Linked DNA regions of Danio rerio. The protein of the gene in region 2 interacts with the protein of the main gene of each other region in a pairwise test. Links are inferred from orthologs where the notes say so. Each region holds a gene or a part of one and is shown on either strand. Other genes may lie near its edges.

Region 1 (3,761 bases), on a different chromosome or scaffold from region 2:
AACTATTATGTTTAAAAATGTGTTTAAAAAAAATCTGCTCTCCGTTAAACAGAAATTCGAGAAAAAATAAACAGGGGGCTAATAATTCTGACTTCAACTGTATATTTATTTGGCTTGCACAATATTGATATCACAATGTATGAAACCGCAATAGTCAGCAAATATGCAATGTTGAGCATTCAGGCACACGAAATCGTAATGTTTGTAACTTTAAGAATACTGTAATTGTATTTTATCTATAAATACAATGAAGACTGTAATAGGTCATTTTACATTTGATTATACAATTTGCACCTGAATACTGCTAGACCTCCAGAAATCTGTAAAATACTGTTTATTTAATTTATATCTTTGCTGTACTGTATTTATCAACGCTTGTGATTGGTATATTATATTTTATGCAGATGCACTCACAAAAGCATCCCAGTCAATCTAAAATGATGAATTCTTACCATATTGAGCCATTTATTTCATCTGGTAAAATTATACTTCATATTGCAACAGAAAAATAAAATATTGCAATGTATTTTTTTTTCAATATATGTGCATGTATGGCGACACAGTGGCACAGTAGGTAGTGCTGTCGCATCACAGCAAGAAAGTCGCTGGTTCGAGCCTCGGCTGGGTCAGTTGGTGTTACTATGTGGAGTTTACATGTTCTCCCTGCGTTTGCGTGGGTTTTCTCCGGGTGCTCTGGTTTCCCCCACAAGTCCAAAGATGCGGTACAGGTGAATTGGGTAGGCTAAATTGTCTGTAGTGTATGAGTGTGATTGAGTGTGTATGGATGTTTCCCAGAGATGGGTTGCAGCTGGAAGGGCATCTTTTACGTAAAACATGTGCTGGATAAGTTGGCGATTCTTTCCACTTTGGCAACTCCAGATTATTAAAGGGACTGAGCCAAAAAAAAAAAAAATGAATGTGCAAGTATATACATACACACAAACAACGTATTTTTAGTCAGTTTAACTTGAACAATTGCTCACTTAAAGAGCAAAACTATTTTGCAAATATTAAATAAAGTAAAGATGTCATTCGAATTGATCTGTAAATACTTAAATTTGAAATGCCGTATATACAATCTAACTTCAAAAATAAATAAACACCTAAATTCTGATAATATACATCAATTAGCTAAAACTTTCTCAAGGCTTTTATCATGTACATGACTTTTATTATGATATTGTCGTTCGGGTTATGTTATACTTTGTTTTCAGCTCGAATCGCGTTTTTTATTTACCTCTAACTTGCATTAAAATCACAAATATGTAAAAAAACGGCTTGGATTAACTTTGAATGTTATTTAGCTTTCAAATGACCTTAAACTTTACCCGGAAGCCGATCGACACTTCCGGGTTTACAGCTTTTGACAGCAGCAGCAGGTTGTGTAAGGAAGGACGCACGTGAGCACATCAGTCTCTATCCATCATATAACGTAAGTGAACGTTTGAGTGGTAAATGTTTTATTATTAAATCTCACCTGATAGCAGGCGTGATTATCTGTGTTACCAGCGCCTAAATACATAATGTGTTGAACGCGAGTGTTGAAGCTGTAAATATAATATTATCAATATAAGGAACTGTTGAAGATGATGTAACTATCAATATGGTGGTCAGCTGCAGGTTGTTCGCAGTAGTTTAGAGCTGATTAATCGGCTGTCTTGTTATTCTCCTACAGTTTTATCGAGTGGAAATGTCGAGTCTGTCAGCAGCGAGTGTGGAGGCTTCACCTGCAGCGATAGAGGGAGCAGAGCAGAAAAAGCCACTCAAACCCTGCTGTGCCTGTCCCGAGACCAAGAAAGAAAGAGATGCTTGGTGAGCACTTTAACTGTTTTTATTTCAGTAGTTAACTTATCCTTTAAAGTGAATTATCACACAGACCTTTAGATAATTGTGGTAAAGTTGGTTTTATATTCGAACATTCGTTTTGTGACTTGCTCCCTATATTGTTTACCATGTTACTTTAAACATTTGGTCTGAAATCACATGTAAGTATGACTTCAGAACAACATTAGCACTATATATTTGACTGTAAACCAGGGGTGTTCAAACTCGGTCCTGAAGAGTTTAGCTCCAACTCTAATCAAACACACCTGAACCAGCTAATCAAGCTCTACATATACCAGAAGCTTCCTGGCAGGTGTGTTGGAGCAAGTTGGAGCTGAACTCAGCAGGACACTGGCCCTCCAGAACCGAGTTTGGATGCCCTTGCTGTAAACGGTGTCCACTATTTAGAAATGGCATAAAATACTTTTCTGAACTTATATTATTAAGGAGAAAGTCTGAATGTGTGAATATAAAACTTTCCCTCAATCTTTTAATACCAGTGACCATTTTTTTAAGCACAAAAATGGGAATTCCCATTCCCAATCTCTGATCAGTTTTTATTTTTTAATTCATTTATTTTTTACATAATTTGCAGTTAACAATAACTGAATAAGGCAGGGTTATTGCCTAATTTAAAACTTTAATCACATTGTTACTTGAAATAAATTATGAAATAGTAAAAAAAAGAGAGAATATAAATGAATAAAAACTGTTGATACATAAAGAAATTAACTAAACTTTAATTTTATTTTGGGAAAACTCATCCTATACTTAAGACCATAAATTGTTATGAGAAATTATTTTCTTGTTGTTCACAAGGAAATAGATTTTAATGTGCAGTCTAAAATTGAATAAAGTCAGACAGAGTTAGTCTTTTAATTGCTTTATTCTCCGGACATGATCAGTTTACAAAGAGACAGCCTCTGTAAGCAAAAGTAACCCAAGCATGGTCTCAGGCGTTTTTAAAGACAATGTTACTGTGTTTCAGATAAGAATTTTCCAGCAGCTTAACTCTTAAATAACCAGTAGATTACACATGGCTGTAATAGTCCAATGATTATAATGCAGATGATCTCTACTAGCAAAACCTTAATCAATTTATAATATTAATATATACTTATCAATCATCACTATATGATCATCAATATTAAAATCTCTCTCACTCTATCTATATATAGATCAAAAGATCACATCAATAGATTAAATAACTGCAGTGCATTCTGCATGATTTGATAATTATGCAAATCATATCATGTTCTCAGGCATTGTTAGAATGAATAACAAAATACTGCCAGTCAGCTGGATAGAAATATATATATACACACACACACACACACATATACACAAACACACACCAATTTATACACTAATTTGATGCTTGGCAAGTGTTTTAGCCACAGTGTGCAACTAAACAATACTGTCTTTATTCCAGCATCATTGAAAAGGGGGAGGAAAGCTGCACACACCTCATCGAGGCACACAAGGAATGCATGAGAGCGCTTGGTTTTAACATATAACACCACTATCATCATCATCATGAGTGAATGGTGAGTTTTTTTTTCTTTTGAAAGTTTTTTCTTGAACTGCAAATTAGTGACATTTTGTGCTCTCTCATGCAAGTTATTTTAACACTGTCCAAGCTGCTCTCTTTCATATTATAAAAGTGAAAAGTGAAGGCTGATCCTTACAAAGTGTGTATGGATTCACAAATTTTTTTTACTATAGTGCACAATTCAAAGCAGCTACTTTTCTATAAAACAGAGCAGCTTGGGTATTTTTCCTAAATTGCTTCTTGCTCAAGGGACTAAATTATAATAGAGTTTAAATGAAATAAGAGAAGAAATAATAAAGATGTTTCTGTCAGTTTAATGAATCGCTTACAGTATATGTAATGTTTCCTTAATTGCTTTTCTTTTGTAGTGTGTGACTGCTTGCGT
Region 2 (3,661 bases):
CAGTGGTTTGTTTTGTAGACTAAAAAAAAATGGGCTAAAGGGGGCTAATAATTTTCCTTAAAATGGTTTTAAACAAACCATGAACTGCTTTTATTCTAGCCAAAATAAAACAAATAAGACTTGCTCCAGATGAAAAATATTATAGGAAATACTGTAAAAATGTTCTTGCTCTGTTAAACATATTTGGAAAATATTTGGAAAAGAAAAGAAATTTCCAGGAGATTTAAAAATTTCAACTTCAACTGTATCAGTGCCCACAGGTTTGAAATTTACTTTCAGTGGTAGCTGGTAGCCACAAACTGAAACACACCATTTACCCAAATCACATAAATAGTTAACTATATGAGACAAACAATATATAATTAAATTGAACAATAATTTTAATATACACTGTGAAGTTTCAATGGGTAAAGTAAAAAATTAAAAAATAAATAAAAAAGAAGAACACATCCACAATTTCTCTTACTTTTATGCTATTCAGGAGCCATGTGCACCCGCTGACAGGTCAAATCTGCGTCTCTCTTTCTTTCAAGTTCAGAGCAAACTTAAATGCCAAAGCATTTTACATAAGTAAATAAAATAGCCTATGTAACATATTAACATCATCACATTAATGAAATAATCAGCAAATGAGAAATAAAAAACAGAAAAAGGAATAAAAAAAAGTCAATATCTCTAAAAATGATCATAATTACAAGATTAAAAGGAGATTATTAAGCCAAATGAGTTGATTAACCATTACTAATGATGTACATTTTCTCCGCGTATATTGTAAAATTTGTAAAAGTTGTTTAGATTTTAAAAATTAATCATTGAATGTTTCTCTCGCAAATTGCGAAGCAAAGCGAATAGCCTTAAGTAAAAAGGTGATGTAAACACGCATACAAGCTTTAGGAGGAAAAGCAAAAGTAGACTTTTTAGACATTTTAGGAGATTTAGAAACCCGGGGCAGACAAATTTTAAGTCCCAAAAAAATATGTCTCTGTGGGTCTGCAGAGCACGCGAGACCGTCAGTGTGTGTTGACTAGGCATGGGCCGGTTCTGATTGTGTAATAACCTTGGACAAAAATATCAAGGTTTCATGGTATCACGGTATTGTGATTACTGCTCTTGAATATGTTCTTTTTAAATGTAAAAAAAAAAAAACTAAAACTCTTTCTCTCTTTGAAAACAATATATTTTATTTTGTGAAAGACTTATAATATTTTGGAGCAGCAATCATGTCAGGCTAAAAAATTCAAATCAATCATTGACTTATGCTGTCTTCATTTCTTTCAAAAACACAGATTTCTTTACTATTTAAAACGACATCTTTTTCTGCTGAAAATTCTGTTGTAAATAAAAAAATCTTACTTATACCTTAGGAACGGTCCTACAGAAAATGTTGGCGGATTTAAAACATTAACTTTTCCAAACCGCTTTATACCTTGAAAACGGTTATCATCCCATTCCTAGTGTTGACAAGTCTCGCATGCACAGAACGTAACAGGTAAACGAGAGAAGATTTTCCACTACTTGATCAACTGCAGATGTTTGGTTATATTGAGCGGATGCAAAAAAAAATGTAAAGGATGTTAATAACAATAAAAAAAAAATCACTAAATTTACCTGGGCGGCCCACCCAGGTAAAGTCTATGTGTGGGAAGCACTGCTGTATATATTTTGGTATTAAATAAACAATCACTCATACATATTCAGTTAGACAGTTATAAAGTATAAGAGAGTTTTACCTGTTGCCATTTGACTTTCTGTGCAGGATCTCTGAGGGACTGACAGTGCTTATGGATCTGCTGTATAACACCTTGATAGTACACCATAGAAGAGTCATAGTTCCCCAAAAGCGCGTATTCTCTTCCTTTCTTAGCGTTGTCGCAGATCTCAGTCAGATTCATGATGAGAGAGAAATCAGAATGTTTCTTCAACACGACTGGAGTTCAGAGATTCTAGTTTGAGAGCTGCTGATATCAGGCCATGAGTCCTGAAGAGAACAGAGAGGCTGATAAGATGATGCAGAGCTGAATCAATCATTTACACTGATACAATTACTCAGTCTCGACTGCTCAAACGCATACAAGATACAGTTTAGTTTTGGCTGTGTGTAACTGCATTTTTATTGTTAACAGTTAATGGTGTGTGAGAAAATATACATTCATTGAGTATATGAAAATAGAAAATGTGCGTATGTGTACATTTGTACAAGCTGCGTATGAAATAAATGTGACAAATGGAAGCTGATAAGAGTAAAAGGCTTTTTCTTAAACACTACTGCTATTCCCCAATTGACTGATTACATCAAAAATTGCAAACTTTTATTTGTATTACAGATTTTCTGTTCAAATTGTTTACTTTAAATATGCAAATTAGGCTTAATTTAATAAAATGTCACTAATTTGCATATATTGTTTGCATAATATTATATAATTATTCATTTGGGGGCAGCACGGTGGCTCAGTGTCATCTCACAGCAAGAAGGTTGCTGGTTCGAGTCCCGGCTGGGTAAGTTGGCGTTTCTGTGTAAAGTTTGCATGTTCTCCCCGTGTTGGCGTGGGTTTGCTCCACAGTCCCAAGACACGCGGTACAGGTAAATTGAATAGACTAAATTGGCCGTAGTGTATAAGTGTGAATGTGAGTGTGTATGGGTGTTTCCCAGTACCGGGATGCAGCTGGAAAAGCATCCGCTGTGTAATACTGGATAATTGGCGGTTCATTCCGCTGTGGCGACCCCATAGTAATACAAGGACTAAGTCGAAGGAAAATCAATTAATGAAAATTCTTTTTACTCTTTTTATCAGTCGTATATTAGAGTCAAGTGATTTTAAAAAGGGGAATTAATGTGTCTCGCTTTTATCACTCTAGGCTTATTATTATTGACAAAAAATAAATATTTATTTGTAGGAAATACAGTATATAAAAAGGAAAATTGTATACAAGCATATGCAAAGTAAAGATATATAAAAAGTTTGAGTAAAAACTACAAATATGTAGGCTTTTGTGATTAAAAGTTTGTTTTCTTTCTACTAGACCAGTGATGCCCAAACTAGGGTCCGCGGGACAAAGTTGCCCATGGTAAACTATGATTTGGCCTGCCATGCCAGCTGAGAAGAGAGTGAGAATCAATCAATCTATCTATCCATTTACATATGTGTCTGTATGTCTGTCTATATATCTATATATCTGTAATATATGTATCTGTCTGTCTGTCTGTCTATGTATCTATCTATCTATCTATCTATCTATCTATCTATCTATCTATCTATCTATCTATCTATCTATTTATCTATTTATCTATCTGTCTGTCTATCTATCAATCTATGTCTGTCTGTCTATATGTCTAACTATTTGTGTATTTATGTATCTGTCAATTTACCTTTGGTCCACTGCACTCATTCAAGTTAGGTTTTTGGCCCTTCATAAGAAAAGGTTTGGGCACCCCTGCACTAGACTATACTCCATTAAACCTTACACTTTATGAAGAGCCAAAAAGCCCAAAATATAAATGTTATCATTCACAGTATGCAGCATATTTGGCATTTTTATATATTCATGATAAACTGCAACGTTCAATTTCAAGTGTTTTTTTTTCCGACCTGGTCTCCTTAAAGTGTATAAATTTGATGTTTTATTGTAATAACGTTTTAAAACGTACAGTAGTAACTGAGTC

The links.
Region 1: the proteins of katnal1 (region 2) and cox17 interact in binary tests that used the Homo sapiens proteins (3 or more experiments, as listed by UniProt). The two-hybrid records come from large-scale screens. The link is inferred for Danio rerio from reciprocal best matches to the Homo sapiens genes KATNAL1 and COX17.

The regions. Positions count from the first base shown.
Region 1 is NC_133184.1:22,851,298-22,855,058, reverse strand, and holds the start of cox17 (cytochrome c oxidase copper chaperone), read left to right. Parts: upstream 1-1,350; 5' UTR 1,351-1,432; intron 1,433-1,675; 5' UTR 1,676-1,690; coding exon 1,691-1,812; intron 1,813-3,256; coding exon 3,257-3,341; 3' UTR 3,342-3,371; intron 3,372-3,744; 3' UTR 3,745-3,761.
Region 2 is NC_133185.1:41,477,475-41,481,135, forward strand, and holds part of katnal1 (katanin p60 ATPase-containing subunit A-like 1), read right to left. Parts: intron 1,979-3,661; 5' UTR 1,893-1,978; coding exon 1,731-1,892; intron 1-1,730. UniProt on the Homo sapiens protein: Regulates microtubule dynamics in Sertoli cells, a process that is essential for spermiogenesis and male fertility. Severs microtubules in an ATP-dependent manner, promoting rapid reorganization of cellular microtubule arrays.